Linked DNA regions of Nothobranchius furzeri. The protein of the gene in region 6 purifies or fractionates together with the protein of the main gene of each other region. This does not show direct contact. Links are inferred from orthologs where the notes say so. Each region holds a gene or a part of one and is shown on either strand. Other genes may lie near its edges. The genes, in order: neurl4, cep290, cep97, ccnf, cep76 and centriolar coiled-coil protein of 110 kDa.

Region 1 (2,763 bases), on a different chromosome or scaffold from region 6:
TTGTGGAGATAGGCTTCTGTTTGGAGAAATGCAGAGCTAAAGGGCCAACGGCTAGTCCTGAAACCTGCAGCTCTGGGGCCACATCTGGAAGATCTGATGAGCAGCAGCATGGGTTTGGGGGACCAGAACCTATTTTCCCAAAAAATATATGTAAAAGAAAATACTTTTGATATTCTGATGAAATAAAAAGTAAAAGCTACTCAACGTTTAGTTGTCTAAATGTAGAAAAGGCGTAAGCAGCGAGGCCTTCAGATTTAGCTCCAACAGGAAAGATTCCTGTCAACAGTGCCGCGACGAAGGATTTTACCGTTTCAACCGTTTTCCGGGCCTCACTCGGCCTAGTTGTTAGCTCATCAATCCTATCGGATTTAAACCCTATGTCTCTAAACAGAGGCTACAACAGGTGAGATGTGATTATTCAGAGTTTTTTAAGAAAACAGTTTGCTAACACGTCCTTTCCTGCTGACAGGTAACCATAGTAACCAGCACAGTGGCAGCTGTGGGGGCAGAGGGCGGTGAGACTCGTTGTCAGGCGGACATGGAGAAGGCGGACATGGTTGACGGTAAATAAAAACCAACTCCTCTGCGTTTATAGTGATTTAGATCTCAGATGACGTGAATTGGATGTGCAGGGATCAAAGAGAGCGTGTGTTGGACGCCTCCTCCAGAAGCTAACCCCAACAAGACCTGCGAGTACCAGGCTCTGTGCTCCCGCTTCAAGGACCTGCTTACCTTACCAGGTCGGTTCAAAACCTGCGTTTTTATCCTCCTTCCCGCCTAACAGGTGAAACTAATGATTCTACTACCGGCTATTTGTTAAGATGGGTACTTCAATGAGGACGCTAAATGCAACCTGTGCTACTGCGAGTCCTGCCACAAGCTCCGGGGAGACGAGGCGTATTACAAGAGGGGAGAGCCGCCGCGGGACTACGCTCTGCCGTTTGGATGGTGCCGCTTCGCTCTCAGGTGAGACAACCGTCTCCTGTTTTGTTAAAACCTACTCGAGACCTTTGAACAGGTTAGAGAGTCGAAACTAAAAGGAAAAGAACTGAAGCATCTGTGATGTCTTTTCAGGATAAAGTCCCACTGTGAGGTCTCTAACGCCATGAAGAAGTGGCATATAGCATACCACGGCACCAGCGTAGGAGCCCTGCGACGCACCCTGGACCACGGCCAGCTGCTTCCTGGTACAACTCGCCATCATTCATTTTATTTTTCTTAAAAACAAACTTTTAAAATATTTTGTCAACGCTCTGGCGTGGCTGAAAGCGGAGGCTTAAATCTGCTGTAATTTGCTGCAGGGTGTTCGTCCATCTTCTCGGTGTCTCCGGTGAAGGCGGAGGGGCCAAACAGCTACAGTGAGCCGGAGGAGAACAGCGCCCCCGGTAGGGAGGTTCCCAGAGTGCGGCTCTCCCCCACTATGCGTTATTCCGGCTTAGAGATCTTTGCTCCTAAAGTGCAGTAAGTGCATAAAAACAGCCTGCTGCTGTGGGTTTAGACAGAGGCTCGCACTGACGGTTACTCTCATCGTCACACAGATTTCGGGACCCCCGTTCCCACCGCTGTCACCAAGCTCAGGTGGGATTCCAGGTGTGCGTGCGTCCAGGCTCCTATAAGGTAGGACCTCAGACTCTAGGACACAGCGAGCCCCTGGATCCTCGCTTCAGCAACACGGAGATCGAGTGGATCACTAAAGAGCAGGGCGGCACGCTCCTCTACGGACTGCTCATCAGAATAGAGTGAACACGACAACAAAGGAGGTACTGCTTGAACTTCTAATGAACCTGACAAATCCAGCTCTGACTGGATCAAGAGGCTCCTGTGGAATCCAGCTGGTCCTACCGGGGATTGTTGACGACTCAACACTTTGGTTCTGGTTCTTCGCTCTAAGACTTTCTCCCGGCGGCCGAAACCTGTGGCTGTCTTGACGAACAGACACTGCCTGCACTTTATGTTTAGAACACTTGTGGGCGATTTTTAAACTCCTCGTCAACACAACAGGTTTGTTAGTTCTCCCCATCAGTGTATTTTTTTACTTTTGATTTTCGCACTTACGTTTACTAGGACAAGCCTCCACACTGGTGAGTGTTATTTTGGGAAAAGCTGCCTCACGTCTGTCTGCACGTCAAACAGCACAAAAATATTCATTTATAATATATAAATAAAACACAGGGACATCGTTTTAACTATAATGTAAAAATTACACTTGAATTAGATATTAAACCCGTAAATATGAAGTGACTGGGACCTTTTTAGGGGCAACATTTGAAAACTGGAAGGAGTAGAGAAACATGTTTACAACCCCACCATTGTTGCTGCCCTCTTCATGCCCATGTGTCTTTTATTAGTGCTGTTGGCTTTCTCTCTGACCCTGAATTTTCACATTAATTTAAAAATATTAAAATAATTATTCACACAAACTTTAATACTTGATCTTTTAAAATTTCCACTTCAACTTTTGGGAATGGAAAATAGTGCCAGGCGCTACATTTGCTCAGCGTTTAAAACTAAATATTTCATAATGTAGAATTTAAAAAATCTCAACTTCCTATTTTATGTTGATTTATTTAAAATGATTGGATTTCTTGCAAAGGATGATATTTTACTATTAAAAAAGAAAAAAAATGTCACCCTGTTTATCCCAGAAAGATGTTTTACAAATTCAAAGACACGGAAAAGCTCATTTTAGATGAAATTTAATTTTTGTTTCACATGTTGAATTGTTCCCTAAAAAACGGACCTAAACTGGCAGTTTGTTTATTT
Region 2 (4,089 bases), on a different chromosome or scaffold from region 6:
ACTGTGAGAGACAGGATTGGAGGATTTTAAAGAAATTATTTGTGCAATGGTGCAGAAAATAAGTATTTGGTCTATAACAAAATGTCACCTCTATACTTATGACAGAGGTCACGTTTCCTGTAGGTCCTCATCAGGTTTGGACACAGTAGCTGGAATTTCCAGCCACGTTTCAGCTTCAGTGCCTTTACTGATGGAGGAATTTTTTTGCCCAGAATCTCACTGTTGATGGTCCTTTTATCCCTTTCATTAATACAGATCAGTCGCCCGTCCCCTTAACTGAAGAGCATCACAAAACATGATGTTTCCACCCCCATGCTTCACACAGGGTGTGATACTATTGGGATGCATCTCAGCATTATGGCCCCTCTAAACATGGCAATTGGTGTTTATACCAAATAATTCTATTTTGCACTCATCTGGTCACATGACATTCTCCCAGTCCTCCTCTTGATCATCCAGATGGCCTCCAGCAAATCTTATTTATCTTCAAATTATTCTCTTCAGTGTTGGTGCTGCAGCAACAAGTGAATTTTCCCTCTGTGGGATCAATAAAGTCTATTGTATTCTATTTGACAGGCCTGGACATGCTGGCATAAGAAGGGAGACCTTACGGGCGCTGCAGGGTGTTCCAGCTCTTTTCAGGTCAGTGACCATTTCCCCTCATATAGTTTTGAGCTGTTCTCAAGATCATTTGTACCCCACTAATTAAGATCTTGCATGGAGCCCCAAGTCAATGGAGATGTCCAGTGACCCTGCATGTATTCCATTTTCTAATAATTGCTCCAAGTGGATCTCTTCTCACCAAACTGCTTGCCTATTGTAGATTCTTGTGCAGGTGTACAATCTTGTCCCTGGAGTCCTTAGACAACTCTGGTCTTGGCCATGGTGGAGGTTGGTGTCTAACTGTTTGAAGGTGTGAACAGAGGTCTTTTATACAGTTAACAAGTTCAAACAGCTGCCATTAACACATGCAGCAATTGGGGGACAGAAGAGCATAGAAGACAGGTGAAGTAATGGGTTTGTTAGGGATTCTTGCTTGTTTGTAGGTGCTAAATACTTATTTTTTGCACCATTATACAAATAAACAAAATAAATCATACAATGTGATTTCCAGGATTTTTTTTACATTATCTTTCTCTCACAGTTGAGGTGTACATTTCATGAAAAGTACTCTTTCATCTTTTTAAAGGTGTGGTTGACTGAAAAAAAACATTTTTTTAATGAATCGGTCACTGTGAGTTTTTCATGCAGGCTGAACATGAAAAACGTCTCCTACACTAATCTCCTGCATTAGCGTTCTATCAGCTTTGTGGGCCAATCGGTCTGGTGGGCAGGATGATGCGACAGAGTGGAACAAAATGGCGACCGCTCATTTGAAACAACTTCTACATCAATTTTGGACTATTTGGACTTGGGCTTCATTAGAATCAGGAGCAGATAGATGTATTTAAGTCCTTTAATTAGAAAAAAGGATTTATTTTTGCCAGCGGACCGCCTCATTTACCGGCATCCGTTGCGGTGAGTACGTCACTTTGTTCGTTGTCCAGTTGCATACGGAGATCCTTTGAAAGACATGGTAGAAACTGCCCCACAACCAAGAACAGTCAATGGAGCATTGCCAAACTAAGATATTTATTAAGTATAGCTTGCCAGGCTACTAGTATATTGACTTACAAGGCATTTATTCCTACTAGAGACCACTACAAATAGATTGATAAAATAAGTCACCCACACCACACAAGTGGGACACCTAGTAAAATCAGTGGCTGCCAAATACTTTTTGCCCCAAAGTACATTTTGTTGAAAAGAATTGCAATAATATTTTCTGTATTTTACAAACAAAACAAAATGCTGTCCAGTTAATCATAACCAATTACTCGTCCCTTACTTGAATTTATTTCATTCTGTGCTATTTTATGAAGTTATTCTGCTAAACAGGCTTTTCTTAAACATATGACAGCTATTCATTTTTAAAATGAAAGATCTTTACAAAAATGTATGCATTAAACCTCAAATTACTCCCAAATGTATTTAAAAATATAGATATTTAACAAAAAAAGGACTTGATAAAAAGTGAAAATATGAGTTTTGTTATGGGAGCTTGTTTTCCCCCCATCTCTTCTCTCATTGCACTGGCTCTAAATACAATGATGTGAAAAATATTTACAGATGTATTCACAGTGAATTCATTATTAATAAATAAAATATTCAGTTGAAATCTGTATTCTGAAAGTACTTGGGTTATATTTAATAATAACAATTGTGTTCCTGAAAGATTAGTCTAAAAACAGCAACAACAACAACAACAAAAAAACAGAAGTAGCTCAAGTAGGACAATTCATGCAACCGTTTTAGTAATAATGAGGTTTAACGCTTGTTTCCTCCACTCGCTTCGAATTAACTCGTTTTCTATTGTTTAAAATAAAGCATTAGTCTGACAGAGCACATCTGGAGAGTTCATATGATTTAAGAGTGGACAAATACCGAAATAAATGTGCGGACAACATCGTCCACTTCGTCCTTTTTCCATTCATGCACGTTCCAGGGGTCAAATCTTGACACTTTATTCCACACATGGCCGGCTGGCAGCATTTTGGACAACTGCTGTGGTTATCAATGTTTTCACGAGACAACGACTAAAAGGCTACTGCAGCCGTCAGGTGTACCAAATAACTCTACTCAGCTCCGCTGTAACCTCATATAAAACGTAGATTTTGGTAGGCTGCTTTAAACACGTCGTGTAAACGTTTCTGAAGTTTTGAAGCAAAAAGGTCAGTAAACTCTCATCCTAACTCCTGAGGTCTCTGTGAGGCTTTGGCTGCTAGGTTACGCTTCACAACTGCTACAGCTAGGAAGTAAAACTCACAAAAATCTTCAAGTGCTACAAAACGTCAACGAAAACACAACGAAACAATAAACGGGACCCTATAATAAAGGAATACCGCACTATAACGTTTCCGAAGAGTCTGTAAAGTGAGTTTCATCCATCAAAACGGGTTTAGCAGCTCTGTTGTTTAGCTAAAGTTTGACCTGCGCAGTCACCTCTGACCCGGAAGTACTATCGAAGAAGCGTTTAAGCTAGTTTGCACAAATGGAAAACAGTTTGATGAACTATGTTGTCCGAATTTACGCTACTATTTCTTGATTTTGATATAAGATTTGGTGTTGCTGCCGTCTGTCCTGTAATCACTTGGTAAGATAGACCTTAATGCGCATATTTAGACATTTCAGAACATAAAGACGGGTAACGAGCTAGTTAGCATTAGCGGATGAAGTATCTAGCTGTTCAGTTTCAGCTGTCAAACTGAGTTTCTCTTACTGCTCTTTTAGTGGTGTCTCGTCACTGTGAATACACAAGAACCACCTCGTTTTCCGTCATACTGTATTTTAAAGTAGATGTTAATGAGCGAGTTATATTGCTAATGATGTTGTTACTGACAAATGTCACAGCTCCGGGTCGTGGTTTGACCGGATAAGCTTAAAAGCCAACGGTCAGTCTCCATGCATACCTTTACTTGCTGTGCCATTAAAATACCTTACTTTTAATTATAGGCTAGAATAAATAATCCAGTCAATCAGAGAAGAAAATACTGTTGAAATTGCAGTTTGTTGCCATAACAGGGCTCAAGTTAGACAGAAAACATTTGATGTAATTGGCTTCATGACCTGTTCTAACCTCGGAACACAAAGTTTTAAAAGTTTAATTCTGTTTAATCAGCTTGGTAATGTAAGTACAATACAAGCGTTTTAAACTAAATCAAACTGTGCTTATTAATTTTGATTTCTGCCAACCCCTCCTTCCCTGCAGTGATCAATGAGGGCTTTGGCCAGCCATGGCTGTCGTGTCATGGAAGGAGATTTTATTTCTGACTGGACTGGTGGTGGGATGTTACTGGAACAGTCTCTCGTGTGGCTTTGTGTTTGATGATGTCTCAGCTATCCTCGACAACAAGGACCTCCGGCCCACCACCCCCATTCGCAACCTGTTTCTCAATGACTTTTGGGGCACCCCCATGGCTGAGGCAAGTCATGGTCCTATTTGGATACAGGCTTATTTTTCTCTTCAGAGATTGTATGTTTTACAGCAGG
Region 3 (4,029 bases), on a different chromosome or scaffold from region 6:
AGATCATTATGATTTTATGACTTTTTATTTAGTTGGAGCAGAAACGGGTGGAGCTGACTCTAGGTGCATCTCCACCCTCTGGAGCAGCTCCACCTTCGTGGTTCCGCAGGGAGCACCCTCTCCGCCGGACGAGGCCCCCTCCCTGAATATAACATGAACCGAGATGTGGCTGGAGGGTAAATTTAGCTACCGTGCCCCCTCGTGGCGAAACACTTATATGATTTATATCCAGTCATTTTCTAATTCCCAAGAGTCTAAATTATAAGTGAGTATTTTGAAATATCTCATTAAATGCAACTTTTGCAGTCCGATGCTAATATGACTACAGGTTTATTTAAAATTTTAGATAAGGCAACATTTTTTCTATTACCCAATAACATTGTTCAGAACATATAACTGATAGTAGCGTGTTTGTAACAGACACGTGACATTTTAGAGGTTATTAATCAGTGAGTGGATTGCTGATAGTTTAAGCACATAAATTAACAGATTCAATAATATTCACACACCACATTCAATCAATTCAATAAAGAAAGTAAAAAATATATATATAAATAGCAGAAAGGATATTATAAAACATTTTGTATTACATTCACTGTTAGGTAATGTTTCAAGCTTTCAGTATTATGAGCACTTTTATCTGGCTTAACAAATCAATATGAGTGCAGCTTTAGGCTGATCTGTATCTCCAGTCCTATGTTACACACATTCAGTAGCGCTTTGGAGAAATGTTCAATATGAGAGGACGTTCACAGAGTCTGGATTGATTTCTGCTTCCTTATTTGTGGGGGAGTGGTTGGTCCTGCTTGGTGACTCTGATGGTGTTCCGATTATATCGCTGTTTACTTCTTCAGCCTCCTCCTCTCTCTGCTGCACAGAGGACAGGTACTCCTCCAAAAGGCTGCATTCTGCACTGTCCACTGCATCACCAGTGAGGCCACCTCGAATGGGGCTCAGCGTTCGCACGGTTTTTATAGTGTCGGCCGTCCCGCTGCTCAGGAAGCTGTCGTCCTGTGCTGCCTGGCGATCACTGGTTGATTGGAAGCCGGAGTCGGGGAAGGAGACGTCTGTGCTCGGTGGGTTTGTGGTGACAACAGGTGGGGGGGTGTTACAAGGTGCAGGAGATGAGATCTGAACTGCGCTGACAGACTTCACAGCTGCCAGCTTCTCCTCTACGGACTGCTTCCACTGCTGCATGGACTGAAGCTAAACAAAAATAAAAGTAAAGGATAAAAATATAAGTGATAAACTACATCTCAGAGTAGCAGGTTAAGAAAAATTGACCTGATTGCAAAAAAGAAATCTACATTTTATAATATTTACATTTTTTGCATTTTTAAATAAATCAGAAGCAAATTATCTGCACTTAAGCTGCTTAAAATGTCAAAACTGCTCCTTATTTTACTTTAAGCCTTCAGTTTTTTTAATTTACCTAAATATCTACTAAAAATGATTATAGCACTGACTAAACCGTTACTTAAAGTGATCATAAATGCAATTTCTAACCTCTTTCCACAGAAACTTCACAGCCTCCTCCTGAACCAGCCGTTGCAACCTTTCCTCCTCATACTGCTTTTGCACGCTGCAAAAAAATCAGGTTAAATTTAACAAAATCTCTCAACTTCCAGACATATATTAAGGTATAACTTTAAATAAAATGGTTAATAAAGAGATTTGTGACAGTTAATTCATGTTAAGTCACTCACGTGTCCAGTTTGTTCGACAGGAAGACGATGTGTTCTTGCATCCGCCGCAGACGGATTTCGCCGCGCACCTCTCTGGCTGCAGGATGACAACCCCGAGTGTAGTGTCCCCTCCACCAGGACTGGATTTTAATTGCTGCATTCTCTGCTTCTATCAGACTTGACTTGTTGACACACGTATCTGCTTGTTCCATCTTAGGTACTTTCACTTTGGCTTTACCAAAGTCAGGAGATATTTTTAGATCATTTTGCGATGAACTAACTTTGACTGCTGATGCAGCTGCTGTAGTTGCAACAGCAACAACCTCCTCTCCAGGAGCCTTCCTCTCATCTTTAGTCATCGGAGACAGGTTATTTGCCTTGCTTGTGTTGAGCTTTTTGGGTTGCGATGGGCGCTTTGGTGCCAGAGAGTCGGGCTCGAACGTCTCGGTCTCGTCTTCGCTGTCAGAGCGGGCCGTTTGCGACTCAAAATCAGACATGAAGGGGAGAAAGGTGGACTCTGAGGACAGCAAGCTGCTGTTGAGTTTGTCCTCATCAGTCTGCACATCCTCCAAATAAATGCACTCGCTGGCAGGTTTTGTGCTGCGAACCACTGGCAAAGATCGATGGGAACACTCAGAGCTCACCCATGTGTTAAACTGCACCACTGGTTCTGCACAAAAGCAGATAGTATCAGCAGCTGAGCATCAAAACACCAATAAAAACACATCAGAACAACTTCAACATGGAGGGAAAAAAACCTTTTACCGTTCTCTTGGACAGAAGGAGCAGCAGCTGGTAAATGTGAGGCGACTGGCTTCACCTCCTGAGCTCCACACTGCGGACTCGCACGTGAGGGACTGAGCTTTTCCACGTCAAGCTGAGTTGGACGAGGCGGACTGGGACAGCCACCTCGTATCTCCTCCAACAGCTGGCGCTGATGAAACCTGACACAAACAAAATTCCAAAACAAACTCAAGCTAATTTTAAAGGTGGATAAGACATCAGAATACTCTTGCTTTAATGGTTAGTATTTCCATTTGATTAACATGGATACCTCTGTTTACTGAGGATCTTCTCCAGTTTTGCATCTTCTGCTGTCTCCAGGGCTGGTGATGAGGTCAGAGGGCAAACAGTGGCCAAGTACTGAACCAGCTGGACATGCTGCCCTGGTCGATATGAGCGACCTTTACCCTGGCTGTAGAGCCACTCTGCTTTGAGACTGTAATTATAAAAATAATTTAAAAAAAAAAGTAAGATACAAAAACCTCCAGATTGTGGTCAATTAGAAGATTACAAGAAGACACCTTTCTTTTTGTGTCACCACATAGCCGTCGAGGACCTTCAGGTTCAGACACCAACTCATGATGTACGGTCGATAATCGCAACTCGGCAACATGGGCGTCGCCATGACACAAGGGTTACACATGATGGACAGCTGCTCCAGTTCATGAAGAGGAGCAAGATACGACACCTAAAGAGTAGTCATCATGGTTAATGAAAAACTATTGTGTTTTTAGGTCGTATCATCAAGATAAAAAAAAAATGAAAGCAGAAAAAGCTGATTACCTCATTAAGATCTCTTATCTCGTTTTCTGCCAGGGACAAGATGGATAAATGAGCAGGAAGGTGCACAGGAACAGTACGAAGGGTTGTTATGCTGTTTCCATGGAGTAAAAGTGTCTGCAGTGGGATTGAAAAACAAAATCAAAAGATACACTGAAGAAAATGTTTCGTATGCTATTTTTATGCACATATAACCACTGACCTTTAATGCCATCAGTTTAGTCAGATCACCAGTCGTTGAGATGTTATTGTCAGACAGATCCAGGTGCTGGAGCGACACACAGGTGTTAAGCTGTTCAATGACCTGTCACAGACCAAGGAATCTGTTAAACCTCTATCATCATCCATGAGGAAACGATGTTGGCAAATACAAGAATGTAAAAACAGGCATTAATCTAATCTTACTTTAATGTTGTTGCCAGACAGGTTGAGCCATTTCAGATGACGCAGATCTCGCAGCCCTTCGATGTAACCAATACTGTTGTTGGGAAGATTGAGTACTCTCAGCTCAGTCAGCCGAGAAACACTCATCATTCTCACCAGGCGATTATTGGCTACCGATAGCTGATTAGAAAATGATGAAGATTTTAAAGATAAGACGTTGAATTAGAAATCATGAGTTCACCCATTTACTGTAGGTCAATGCAGTTACCTGCTGAATGCTGGGGCATCGTTCCAGGTGATCCAGCTTCATAATGTTGTTACGGTCCAAGATGAGGGTGTGAGTATCCTCAGAACATGTGAAACTGGAATCTAGTTTCTGCATGCCTTGATCTGAAAA
Region 4 (4,075 bases), about 720 kb from region 6:
GTTGTAATTTCTTTATTATTTGAGACTCCTTTAAGTGGCGTGTCCCTTGCTATTCACTTTGTGCTTTTACTGGGAAAATAGTTGAGCTGGGTTGGAGTTTCTATGGAAACGGTGCATCTAGTTGAGGATGTCAAAGCCCTTGCCCTGACTGAGGTCACTCTGTCAGCTACAAGATAATGTGATTGCTCTGGACCTTCGTTGTTCAGCAGAGCAAGACTTTGCAATCCCCAGTGAGAAAATAAAAAGGCATTTAATTTATTTGCTTTATTCACTGTCATGTGAGTAAGTTCAATTTGATAAACAAAGGTGGCTGATTGTTTATTGTGTGCTTTGGGACGTTACTGGGAAAAACATTTTAAAGTTGTAAAAAAAAATTATTTTTTAAAATTAATGTGAAGCTCCTGATCTTTTTCGTGATGATGAGACTAAATGAACATGTTACAGATCAATAGAGAGCCTGAAAGGAACAAACGAATACTCCCAGATGTAGTCTGCTTCTTTATGACCCCTTTCAAAAGACCAACAATCAAGAGGATGCTATTTGGCTGAGAGAGCTCTCTATTTATTGTCAATAGGGATGCAACAAAAAGGTCTTAATTATGTGATTTCCTCAGAGGAAGCTTCCTCAAACCCAAACCAACCTGTTACTTTATTGCTTCCCATCTATCTTATGTTGGTCTTAGTGTGTGACCCATGAACAAGGCATTATCATAATTTCTGGATTCTGCTGTGCATTGGTGACATCTCTCTGATAATATTCTCACCGAGATACTTTATTACAGTTATTATAAAAAATAAATCATTCTGAGTGACACAGAGTAAACCTTTGATCTTTTAGAGAGAAAAAAAATCATTTGCTTTAGAATGTTTAAAAGAAACAAAGTAAATGTGTCACCGGGTCAAGTAACTGCACTTTTCTCCAACCCTGACTCCCCCTTGGACGGATCATTGGGGGCATGTCCCTTTAAATTATGTACCTTTAAACGCCACTTTTCCATTTAACTACATTTCCCACACGCCTTTTCAACAAGGCGGACACACGCAATCGAGTCAACCAATCGTAAGAGCACACAGACGAGCGCGTACTTCGAAATGGCATTACATCCTCCAATGAGCTTCGGTTATTTCATAGTTCAAGGTGTCAGACCAATCTGTGTTGCCTCTATTCCTATTGTCCAATCATAAGCTTGTAGTGTCACGCGCTGACGATGTTGCTCTCTACCAATCAACTTCTTTGTAGAGTTTAAACCGTGCGCGCGGGCGGTCCTACATAGTTTAAGGCGGAGCCTTGTCCGGACTCGTGCATGAATTTGAATTCAGACAACTTGATGTTGAGTTATTAGTCAGCCGCACAAACTCAACATTAACTTTAACACTGTTTAGCCTCTAATTCACTCCAAACGGTGCTCGGTGTAGCCTGCCTGCCTTAACTTGCATTAACACTGCGTTAAAACGGCTCCTCCGTGTTGCTGCTACAGGCTTCTGCGCAAAAGGAAAGCTACTTGCAATGAAAGCGGGCGGTAAGTAACTTTCTTCCGCTTTACCCACTCAGAATAGACGAATGGGAATAATTTGGTATGAAATGAGTGTTTAGGAGTGTGTGTTTGGTCTCAAACCGATTGCTAGGTACTTGTCAGCTCAGGCGTTAGCTAGTGCAGTGATGGATCCCAACAGGAACTTGGTGTACCATTTAGCTCAAAAGCTTCAATATACATCTAACACACCCACGGCTCATTTAGGAATTGTAGCACTAATATTCGTGGTTGGTGTCAGATGATATGTAGTTAGGTGTGGATGAACGAGATCTGGTCGTAACGGTACTTTATTGAACCCACAGGAGGGAAATTTGGGCGCTCAGTTGGTTTGACATCATCTGTTAAGATTTCACCACTGTTCGATTTCCCCAAACAGCTCAAATATGGTTGTTTGTGTTCATTTAGGCTTTTTCTTCGTCTACATTTGATCAACATGTGGTTTAACGTGTTGAGGAACATGTGGAGTTATTTTAGTAGGCATGATTAAACTGTGGAGTAAGTAGGAAAACTACGATGGAAAACTACTACGAGATTATCATTTATCTCTAAACTATGCAAATAAATACTTCTTAAAATATTATTTTAAAATGTCGAATTATGCTCATACCTATCATGCAAAAAAGAAACAATAATTTATGGTGTTGGTTGAGTTAAAGCTCAATTCAGATTCTAAATGATATTAGTTTCAACTGTATTTTGTACAAACTTGGGTTTTTATACTTAAATTTTACAAATGTAGTTTTACATTAATTTTCTTTGTGGCAGACTCACAACCCAGGAAATTAATAGTAACTGAAAGTGTCAAATCATATAAATCAAAGAAAGCCTAACATCCTGACTCGTGTGTTAGAATTAATTAAATGCAAATGTTCATTTTGCGTTACAGTGAGAATTACATCTCCAGCTTTGCACCGAGACCTTTACTGATTTTCCTGTGTACACACCTAAAAAGTATTTGACTCTAAAAGTGTGTTAATTTTGTGATTTGAGTATTTTTTCCTCTATTTTCCAGTCGTCCACTGCCGGTGTTCAAAATGCTACTCTGTTCCGACACGGAAGCGAGTCCGTCAACGATCCCCAGACTTAACTTTGCTCTCCCTGCCTGAGGAAGTCGTTCTATGTGTGCTTCAGTGTCTCTCTGCTGAGGATCTGCTGTCAGTAAGAGCGGTGAGTGAACGTAAATCCCATCACAAAACGTCTGACAGCCTCTTCTGTCGTGTTTCTTGTTCAGGGATTAGTTATCCAGGTTTCTGTTGTAGGTTCACTCCCAGCTGCGGGACACTGTTGACAACCACTCGAGTGTGTGGGCCAGGGTCAGTTTCAGAGACAAGTGGCCGTCCCCCGACACCTTGTGGCTGTTTGAAAGGTACGGTTCCTTCTGACAAATACAACAAAATACTTGCTTTTGTTTACTGAAATTAATATAAAATTCTCACTTCAGAGCTGCTGAAAAGGGGAATTTTGAAGCTGCTGTGAAACTTGGAATTGCTTATTTGTACAATGAAGGACGTAAGTTAAAACAGTTATTTTTTTCTTCTTATTCTTTTCAGAATGTAGTAAATTTCTGCTCAAAGCACCACAGCAGTGTCATTTTAATGTCAGAGACACAAACCCTCTTGATAAATGGTTACGACCCTTCACTCTGGCCTTCTTTCCTGCCTTCAGCGTTGCTGAGCGATGAGGGGCGAGCAGATGTGTGTGGTCGAAAAGCCTCCCACTTCTTCAGTTTGGCTGAGAGTCTCCGCTCCCCCAAAACCGATCCCTTCACTTGGGTGTTCATCCGTCCACCATGGTCGCCCACTGGCAGCTGCTGCAAGGCCGTGGTGTTTGATCGCCTCAAGGCTGAGTGCGATGGCAACATGGTAGGTTCTGCTGCCGCCAGATCAGTGATGAGAAGCCACAGAATAAAGCTGTGTTTGTCCGTTGCATTGAGCTCGAGCCGCGTATGGATCTAGGAAGGTTTAAAGCTCCAAACAGAACATGAGCTTCTGCTTTCCCCCTGCATAACCCATGAGAGGAGCACTGGGAACTGAAACGCTTGTTTTTTTTCTTTCCCTGCAGGAGAAGAAGGGACCCTTGTTGCACTGTTTGGCCAGAGTTTTGCTTCTTTTTGAAGTGAGTGAGACTGAATTTGACTTTCTGGGTGTGGCTTGCTCGGTTTCTATTACCGTTGAGTAAAAATGTAAATCCGTGTGTTGTCACGTGACGTGTCCCCAGCCATGTTCCTCTTTACGATTGGCCTACTCTTAATCAGTCCCCCAAAGCTTTTACGAGTTTTGCTGATTGATGCTTTAGACTTGTGAGGTTTCATAATTTGCTGAAATCATATCTATCAGACTGTTATTTCACTGCTTTCTTACAAATGTAAGAGCAAAACATTCTGTGGTTATAACCATCTGTCTTTCCCAGGACGAGGGGCGACGCTCCAACGCTGTATCTCTGCTGGAGGAGTCGTCTCAGGCCGGCTGTCTGCTGAGTTCTTATCTGCTGTGGGAGAACAGCCGCAAAGCAGCTGTGAGCGTCGTTCTTTCTTTCTGCCT
Region 5 (4,292 bases), on a different chromosome or scaffold from region 6:
GTAACCAGCAGTCGCTCATTAAGGTCTCCATGTTTGCTTTTGTTTATCCTTTCTTGAACAGTTGGGTAAAGAGAATCTGCTGCACTGACCTGTGTGCTGATGACATCACTGTTCAGGTGCTTGGAGAGAGGAGGGTAGAGCTCCAGGCTGACAGTTAAAACACCAGCTGGGACTTTGCATTCACTTCCTGGTGGCACACAAACCTATCAGCAAAGACTGCAGCAGTCTGTAATCAAAGCACGAGCAGAAAGACAACAAGCACTGAGGCCTTTACACGTCTCCACCAGCTGTCCAACTGTGGAGCTCTTGGACTTCTGCAAACGTGCCCTTCTTCATGCTGGCATCTACTGAAGTCTCCATTTAGACTAGAAGTGAGGAGGATACATCACGTTGGCACCTCTGTAGCGAGGCTGTACGTAACCCTGAGAGGACCGCTGATAAACGAGCTTAAAGGACACATCAACACTAAACAAATAAAGATTTTACTAAACTGATTTGACTTCATAAGGGTCTTGATTTCATTTATCATCCTTTAATACGTTTTAAGACCCCGCCCTGAAGTAACATGGCTTGTTTGTTGAGGGGTTTCGTACATGGTCTGTATTTGTATAGCGCCTTCTTAGGGTTCTACAGCCCCCCCAAGACGCTTCACAACACAATCAGTCATTCACACACTGGTGATGATGAGCTATGATGTAGCCACAGCTGCCCTGGCGCCACCGGTCCCTCCGACCAAGGCCGGTTAACGCCCAAGGACACAACAGCAACATTCTCTGTTCGGAGTGGAGATCAAACCTGCAACCTTCTGATTACTGGGCGAGCCGCTCCAGCTCCTAAACTCCTGCTGTCCCATATGTGCTAACCGATCCAATGCAAAGCTTTGTGTTCATAACACAGATTTCATTTGGAGCATTTAAAAGGGGATTTAAGATGAACTTATTAAACTTTTATCCATTCTCACCGTTTTAAAAACATCAGAGTCTAGCGCAGCAGCTGTGTGTGTTGCTCACCAACTCCCATCAGCTCCACTGCAAAGCACGTCTTGCCACTTGGCGAGCTGAGAACTATCCTCCAGTCCAGGAAGTAGGAGGAGACAAGTGTTGTCTCACCAGAGGTGTCTGTCTTGATCAGCACAAAGTGGACCGGGTCACATATGGACAGCATGTCTGTGGCATCCACCATCTTACTGCCATCTCCTGTAATCCCACAGAAACCTTCTGACGTAAAAGCTGACTACAGAAGGGCTGATGTACTCATTCAGCTGCATCCTTTACCGAGGCCATCTTTGTGCATCTCCAGCAGGAAACCCTCCCTCAGGTCAGGTTCACAGGCACAGGGTACTGGTTTAGAGTGAAACCTCTGGTTGTGAAAGTGTAGGTAGAGTTTAAAAGTAGAGCACACCTGACCAGGTAAAGGCTCTGGCTCCTGGAGGTGCTCAAGAAATGCTTTCCCTCCAAGAACTTGGAGATGAAGATACCGTCTAGATGGATCAACGTTGGCTGAGAAAAATGAGGAGTGCAAATAAAACATCAACCAGTGCAACTGTGCAGTTTGATATTTTATAGATGTAAGCAAAGTTTCTTACTTTTCATATGCAGAGGGACGTCTGGGTTAAACACTCCAAAATGAGTGGTGGGCTTCGGAGGAGGTTTTAGTCCTGCATCTGGAGCTGTTCCCTAACAAAACAAGCAGATTTCGTTAGGAAATTAAATAAAGGACTCTGCTTTTGATCAGGTTCAAATGTTATCTGGCATTTTAATCCTGGAATATCCAAAGCTATTAACCTGAACAACATCTGTATGGTGCAGGGGAGCCTGGGTAAAGTGGAGATCTTTCATCACATCGTCTATGATGCCTCTGCGTTGGAGAACACGAAGGACATCTGCCTCAGACAGAGAGCGATGCCCTGAGCCCTGATCCTCTCCGAGAGTCTCAGCAATAAGCTCTCGGATCTTCCCATGGATGTCCATCTGACCACAGATAAACACTCATTATGAGGCTTTTACTTTAGCCGAAACAAGAAACACGTTAGTGAAGCACCGCTTCAGAATAAACTTTACTAACAGAATACTTTAGGTTGGGTTTGTTCTATCTGGCTCATAAATACACACACACACACATACATACATTCATACATATACATACACACACACACATACATTCATACACAAACACGCATATACATATACATATACACACACACACACACACACACACACATACACACATACATACATACATACACACACGCGCGCACACACAAAGAGCGCTTCAGCACATTAACAACACAAGCTGTGGCTAGCTACATAAGTAAAGAGTTGGCTCACCTTCAGTAAATGGTTGTGGATTCTCTGCTTCAGCTCGGAAGCTTTCTCTGAAGGAAGAGACATTGCAGCTTCGGCTAATGATGAACCCAGAATAAAACGTTCACCTAACAATAATAAAAGCGTTATTCCTGGTCTGAGCTATAATCCCTATGGACGTGTGCATTTATTGAGTTTTCTGTACTGCTGTTCTTCACAGACCAGTTTGAACGTTTGAACTTTGGCGAAAAAGCTAGCGCGCAGGTATTTGCCTCCGCTGATGCCTGAACAAAATAAATGTAAAATGACTAAACAGTATCAGTTATTAGGTAACACGATTACTTCAATTTCACTAAATCCTACAAATATTAAACTAATCATTGAAATACCCCATTTAAAGTGGTTATGCTAAAAACATTGTTAAATTTAGTCAGGCTTAATATTAGTTATCCTAATGTCATCAATGCAAGCGACTCTCCATAAAAGGACCCACAGTTGTAGTTCAAATTAAATTTAATTAATTTAGTCAGCAATTTAGTCGCGTTAATTTCTGTACTTTTGATTTGTTTTGTGCTTGTGTAATTCTTATTTTAAAATACATAAAACATTAAGTTATAAAATACTAAAACCAACTGAATAACACTACGTTTTATATATATTTATCTTACTGTTGAGTAATCTGTGATGATTCCTCAAACAAATACTGTAAAATATGTGTACTTCCATCTCCACAATAACGGCCTCGTCTTAAGATAATAAATGAGTTACTGGAACCCGGTGTCGGTACAAGATCTGTTCGGGTGCAAGATCGGCTCGGGGTCCGTCGACTGCCGATGACGTCAAAGTAGTTGATTGGCTGAACATGAACCTTACATAATTACGTAATCACGTTACGTTGTTATTACATTACGTTGGTCCAGGCAAATCTTTCTGTTGGAAAGATGGACAACTTTTACAAAGAAATCCATCTGTGGTCACGTGGGTCTGAGGCGGCGGTCACATGGGTCGGATGCTCATTAATTATACAGAATTTTAGGCTTTTAATACACTTAAACAGAAGAGTGAGAAAAAAATTCACCCCCCTCAGAGTTGTCATGAGTGTAAACTAGATAATTTAAACCAAAAAATGTTTTGGTACCAGGCCATAAACATGTTTATTTCTGCTGTGAAATTGATATTTTTAACATGGGAGTCAATGAGGATTTGCTCGCTTCTGACACCAGCCCCCAGCGGATGAGGGTGGAACTGCAATTTATTTCATTTCCGCGTTTGCTTTAATTTTTCACCCGCATTGTGGGGGCTTGGTTTTACCTAAAACATGGTATCTGCCAAGGATGCCCCATCTCGCCATACTTATTTTTACTTTGTACCCAAATTCTTACAACTCACATCTCAAATAGTTTTGTTCATTTATATTGTTCTTCCGGGGTCCCATGGTCCGGAAGTAGATGGGCGTGGTTTATGACCTCCTGTTACTGATGAGAAGAACAGATTATGATCTGTTTCATTGATACAATCTGGATCGTAGAAGTCCAGGATGCAGGTGGCAAAGATTATTTGTGGATTATTCTGATCCTGAACAGTTTTTCTGATGCTTCCTTCTTTGCAGGAGTCTGAGGTCCAACAGAACTCAAACGTTTCCTCTGTTATGGTTTCATCAGTAGAACACTCCCTCACGTCTTTACTGCCATGGGCATTTTATATTTGCATTTGCAGTGCGTCCTAATTTTCCTTTTGACTTTCCTCATCGAAGGCCTGTTTGCACTAAATGCCACAAATAAATTCCGCATATATGAAGTTCTCAATTTACTTGGCAATAAAGCTAATAATTTATTTCAGGGGCTGCTGAGAACACAATTGACTAACTCAAACGTTAAACCTCAAACTGCTGTACAGGGTGGGCCATTTCTATGGATATACCTCAATAAAATGGGAATGGTTGATGATATCAACGTCCTGTTTGTGGCACATTAGTATATGTGAGCAGAC
Region 6 (4,025 bases):
AGTGAGCGCCGTAGATGGCTGCTCTCGCTGGGGGAAACAGGATCCCACCCCCCCACCCCCGCCTTCCTGTTGGAGTCTCATGTTATGTTGTGTCGTCTGAAGTCTGTTGCATATCTGCTGAGGTGTTTTTTTTTTTGCAGAGCAAAGCTGCTGGAGGGTAACTCTGAAATGCCTTTTTTTCCCTCCACCTGAACCAATCCTCATGTAACCCTCTTATCTCTATTAAGGTAGCGCGACTCAGGTTGCGAATGACCACAGTCACCAGTTCTTGTCATGTGTCTTGCCCATGTATGTCTGATCTCTGAATTGTGTGTACTGAAACTCTAATTTCCCTCTGGGATTAATAAAGTATTGATTGATTGATTATATTAAAGATATATATATATATATATATTTAATATATTTTGTGAGAAAAGATAACTGCATGTATGTATTTGATATTATTTCAATAAACTTGGAAGTTTAACACAAATCATTGTGGAAGGTTGCGAAAATACAAATAAAATGAGCAGATTCTGATTTATTCAGGAAATAAAATCAGAACAAGAAAAACAGAAATGACATAAAAAAGTCACACAATAAATGCAACTGATGACAAACTACACTAATTTAACTGCAGAAATATATCAAACTGGCTAAAATGGTGATAAAGTACTCAGCACCATTAGCTCCCCAAAGCACAGAAAACGAGTCAAAGCCCTTTAACAAAATCGTCATAAATTATACACGACTAAATACTATTTCAAAACCTGCAGTTTGACATTCAGTCTTAAAATTCAGTTACAACGATGAGCATTTCATATGTCTGATAACATCAGATAAACAATACAAGCATGCTAAGGTGTAGTCCAGCTGTTTCTACGGCCTCGTTACTGGATACTCAACACACACACACCAACGTTTCAGCAGGAGGCAGCAGTAAACACAACTACACTGGTGTTAATGAAAACATGGAGGCGATTAATATCATCAGAGATAAGACTTTAAGTAATGGTGTTAGCAGCGCTGTAAAACAGGTCCAGTGGTGCAACATTCAGAATAAAAGAATGTAAATTCAAGTTAAGAGGTGGAGCGGTGCTGTGTGGTGTGTTAACCCAGAGAGTGCTGCTTCTTCAGGCTGTCCGAGCGCCTCACTCTCTCTTCAGGAGTCTTTCTGTACCAGCTCCTGAAAACAGGGTTAGGGTTAGCCACGGTCACTGGGAGGAGTTTAAACACACCAGATCTCTCACAGAGTCACTTATAAAGGAGAAAGTTACTCATAATTCCAGTAAGATCAATTATGGATAGGAACATGCATAAAGAGATGGAGAAGAGAACGTTTTAAGACTTGTTTTCCAAGAGGAAGTGAGACTTTTGCTGTTTGAAAATGGTGAAACTAAAAAACAAACTCACCCCTGGCGGTGCAACTGGCCTGGAGTAGAGGAGTTCTGGTTTTGACTAGGCTTCAAAACTCTGGAGAAAAACAAACAAAATTATTTCAGAGAAAATTGGAACTATAAAAAATAAAACATCAAATATAGATATTAATGAAATAGAACCTGGTGGTTGTGGGGCTTTTTGGCTTCTGCTGCACCTTCCTGACCTGACCGGGGGACTCACCAGCTCTACAGGATTAACAAACACAAATCAGCATCATATCCAACACAACACGACACACAAGCTGTGATTTTAGCTCCTCCCTCACCTCTTCTTCCTGTCCAGAGACCGCTGAGTGGCAGCAGAGAGAGAGACTCTCTCCTTGGGACACTTGGTTTTCTCCTGAAGAGGAGAATTCATTTATGTTGGTGAGATATTTTTAAATAATTTAACACAAAAATCTGTTATTTCTCCAGTTACCAAGAAAATATGCCCCAGTAAACACTGACGTTAAACCAGTGGCTCTCACACCCAGCATGCGTGGAGCTGCAGGTGGAAGTGGAGCAGCACCAGGATCTACATCAGTTTGCATTCAAAAAGCAACAGCGGTGCCACCAGGTTTAAAAACACCTGGAATTGGTGGAGCAGGTGAAAATGAGCTCAGTATTTTCTGTTACTGTAGCAGCATGGGGCACCCACAGGGCCGCAACTATTCACCAACAGTTTACACTAATTGATAGCTTCCTGCTTAATCAACTTGTTGTTATATCTTCTGATTTCTCTGCTACACTCAGTCTGCTAACTACAGATTCCACCTGAAAGGGCCACAGCTGTGCAGAGGATGAGTGTGTGAGCTGGAGTGATGCTCACCAACTCTACATTAACACAGACGAGACAGTGGAAATGCCCATGGATCACAGATCAGCTGGAGACCACCTCCCGGTGGCCGTGCATGGGCACAGCATTCAGCACATGGAACCCTTCATAAGATGGGAGTTCACGTTCATTTAGACCTTAGCTTGCAAACACAGGCGAACACAGCAGAGTTTGTCTCTGTGAGCACAACTGGTACATGCATGCACTTAGCTGTTCCTGCATCAGTTAAAAGGCTAGTGCACACAGACAATGAGCTGAACATATCTGGAAAATTGAAAAGCTGCCTAATTCCTCGGTTTAGGACACATATGTCAGAGTCAAGGCCTGCGGGCCAGATGTGGCCCGCGGAGCATTTTTATGTGGCCCGCGAGATAAATATCAAAACTATATTAAAACTGGCCCGCTGGCCGATTTTACCGCTTTGCGGCGCCAGCGCGGAGCAGACGTGCCCCCTCCTTTGTGTTTTTTCAGCGCCGAGGCAGTCAGAGGTAGTTGGGTGTCTGCAGCTCCGCTGTCTCGGACAAACTACACTCCTCTCACTCAGCGCCGAGTTCACTCAGCTGTTTTCTGACGTTGAAGCCCAGAAACGGAGATTCTAGCCGCTCAGTAATGTGTTCACGACTGAAAGAGAAAGTTTTCAAACTAACTTCCAGACAGAGCTGATATAACTCCAGCGAGCAGCGACACGCTAAAACCAGCACGACTCTGTGGTTGTGTTTCCTCCCCGACACACAACAACGTGGTCAAGCTGCTCAGACATGTTCATCAGCACAAACCTATGTGAGCACCTGTTGTCATCTAATGTTGTCGTTATTATGATGAAGATGAATAAAACAACAGGAGTCTCCTCCTCAGTTCAGATCAACCCCATGATGCAGGTATCTGGCTGGAACAGGTGAGCATCACAGTAAACCAGTGGAGCAAACTGAGCTTTAAATATGTTGGTTTTATGCTCGTTTTCTGCTCCAAAACATGAAAGTTAACAGGTGAGATGTTGCATTTTCATTTAAGATAAAATGATATTTTTATTTTGTTGTTGGCCCGTGAGAAAAGATTTAACCTACAGTAAACAGGAAGTGGAAAGGCTGCAGATAGATGAATAGAATAGAAAATCCCTTTATTGTTCCTCAGTGGGGAAAGCTAGACGTCACAGCAGCGATGACGCGTATTACAGGAGAAAAAAAGGAGAATAAAAATAAGAAAAATGAATAAACAAGAAAACATAAATCCTGAATAGATTTTAAAAGTGCTGAATATACCACAAGTAATGAATACCACTGATGTGTTTTATTTGTAACTGACTTGCTCGTGTGTAATTTGGTTATTCCACATTCAGTGTTAATGCAGAAATATGTTTGTTTCCAAATTTAAAGGTTCAAAATTGCATACATGTTGATAAAGAAAACGTGCAAATTTGCTGTCACTTTTTCAAAAAATATTAAGTTTGGCCCTCGACTCCGTCCCAGAGTTTCACTTCGGCCCCTTGTGAGTTTGAGTTTGACACCCCTAGTTTAGGAGCATATGGCTTCCAATGTGTTTTTGAACAACTTTTTTTCTAAATGATGTTTTTCATTAGTTCTGTGTTTTTTTTTTTTTTTATCTTTGTGATGTGTGTGCAGTGTAACCCCTCTGTCTCTATTTTAAATTAAAAAGCCATAAATGTTTCCTCCCTGGGTGTGTTTCGTGTACCAGGTCTCGGAGCTTCCTCTGTACACGCAGCTCTCTGTCCTGCTGCAGAACTGCTAATCGATCTGTTGAAGTCATTTCAAAGAAGATGTCGTGCACGTCGTAGA

The links.
Region 1: the proteins of centriolar coiled-coil protein of 110 kDa (region 6) and neurl4 purify together in Homo sapiens (affinity purification with western blotting; 4 studies listed by BioGRID and IntAct, with this or other methods). This does not show direct contact. The link is inferred for Nothobranchius furzeri from reciprocal best matches to the Homo sapiens genes CCP110 and NEURL4.
Region 2: the proteins of centriolar coiled-coil protein of 110 kDa (region 6) and cep290 purify together in Homo sapiens (co-immunoprecipitation; 6 studies listed by BioGRID and IntAct, with this or other methods). This does not show direct contact. The link is inferred for Nothobranchius furzeri from reciprocal best matches to the Homo sapiens genes CCP110 and CEP290.
Region 3: the proteins of centriolar coiled-coil protein of 110 kDa (region 6) and cep97 purify together in Homo sapiens (co-immunoprecipitation; 10 studies listed by BioGRID and IntAct, with this or other methods). This does not show direct contact. The link is inferred for Nothobranchius furzeri from reciprocal best matches to the Homo sapiens genes CCP110 and CEP97.
Region 4: the proteins of centriolar coiled-coil protein of 110 kDa (region 6) and ccnf purify together in Homo sapiens (affinity purification with western blotting; 7 studies listed by BioGRID and IntAct, with this or other methods). This does not show direct contact. The link is inferred for Nothobranchius furzeri from reciprocal best matches to the Homo sapiens genes CCP110 and CCNF.
Region 5: the proteins of centriolar coiled-coil protein of 110 kDa (region 6) and cep76 purify together in Homo sapiens (co-immunoprecipitation; 4 studies listed by BioGRID and IntAct, with this or other methods). This does not show direct contact. The link is inferred for Nothobranchius furzeri from reciprocal best matches to the Homo sapiens genes CCP110 and CEP76.

Annotation. Positions count from the first base shown.
Region 1 is NC_091742.1:53,449,486-53,452,248, forward strand, and holds the end of neurl4 (neuralized-like protein 4), read left to right. Parts: intron 1-469; coding exon 470-563; intron 564-632; coding exon 633-740; intron 741-821; coding exon 822-966; intron 967-1,074; coding exon 1,075-1,187; intron 1,188-1,301; coding exon 1,302-1,461; intron 1,462-1,538; coding exon 1,539-1,743; 3' UTR 1,744-2,263; downstream 2,264-2,763. UniProt on the Homo sapiens protein: Promotes CCP110 ubiquitination and proteasome-dependent degradation. By counteracting accumulation of CP110, maintains normal centriolar homeostasis and preventing formation of ectopic microtubular organizing centers.
Region 2 is NC_091744.1:50,508,598-50,512,686, reverse strand, and holds the start of cep290 (centrosomal protein of 290 kDa), read right to left. Parts: upstream 2,801-4,089; 5' UTR 2,593-2,800; coding exon 2,485-2,592; intron 1-2,484. Other genes in the region: protein O-mannosyl-transferase TMTC3, read left to right, coding at 3,834-4,022. UniProt on the Homo sapiens protein: Involved in early and late steps in cilia formation. Its association with CCP110 is required for inhibition of primary cilia formation by CCP110.
Region 3 is NC_091754.1:25,621,390-25,625,418, reverse strand, and holds the end of cep97 (centrosomal protein of 97 kDa), read right to left. Parts: coding exon 3,901-4,029; intron 3,813-3,900; coding exon 3,654-3,812; intron 3,553-3,653; coding exon 3,451-3,552; intron 3,366-3,450; coding exon 3,252-3,365; intron 3,157-3,251; coding exon 2,990-3,156; intron 2,905-2,989; coding exon 2,740-2,904; intron 2,630-2,739; coding exon 2,451-2,629; intron 2,356-2,450; coding exon 1,707-2,355; intron 1,583-1,706; coding exon 1,507-1,582; intron 1,207-1,506; coding exon 733-1,206; 3' UTR 501-732; downstream 1-500. UniProt on the Homo sapiens protein: Acts as a key negative regulator of ciliogenesis in collaboration with CCP110 by capping the mother centriole thereby preventing cilia formation. Required for recruitment of CCP110 to the centrosome.
Region 4 is NC_091752.1:57,970,053-57,974,127, forward strand, and holds the start of ccnf (cyclin-F), read left to right. Parts: upstream 1-1,275; 5' UTR 1,276-1,507; coding exon 1,508-1,520; intron 1,521-2,547; coding exon 2,548-2,702; intron 2,703-2,794; coding exon 2,795-2,901; intron 2,902-2,976; coding exon 2,977-3,044; intron 3,045-3,200; coding exon 3,201-3,397; intron 3,398-3,596; coding exon 3,597-3,650; intron 3,651-3,944; coding exon 3,945-4,049; intron 4,050-4,075. UniProt on the Homo sapiens protein: Substrate recognition component of a SCF (SKP1-CUL1-F-box protein) E3 ubiquitin-protein ligase complex which mediates the ubiquitination and subsequent proteasomal degradation of target proteins.
Region 5 is NC_091745.1:49,054,253-49,058,544, reverse strand, and holds the start of cep76 (centrosomal protein of 76 kDa), read right to left. Parts: upstream 2,801-4,292; 5' UTR 2,391-2,800; coding exon 2,328-2,390; intron 1,971-2,327; coding exon 1,785-1,970; intron 1,677-1,784; coding exon 1,586-1,676; intron 1,500-1,585; coding exon 1,275-1,499; intron 1,197-1,274; coding exon 1,011-1,196; intron 188-1,010; coding exon 90-187; intron 1-89. UniProt on the Homo sapiens protein: Centrosomal protein involved in regulation of centriole duplication. Required to limit centriole duplication to once per cell cycle by preventing centriole reduplication.
Region 6 is NC_091752.1:57,254,215-57,258,239, reverse strand, and holds the end of centriolar coiled-coil protein of 110 kDa, read right to left. Parts: coding exon 3,922-4,025; intron 1,759-3,921; coding exon 1,685-1,758; intron 1,605-1,684; coding exon 1,539-1,604; intron 1,453-1,538; coding exon 1,393-1,452; intron 1,166-1,392; coding exon 1,090-1,165; 3' UTR 501-1,089; downstream 1-500.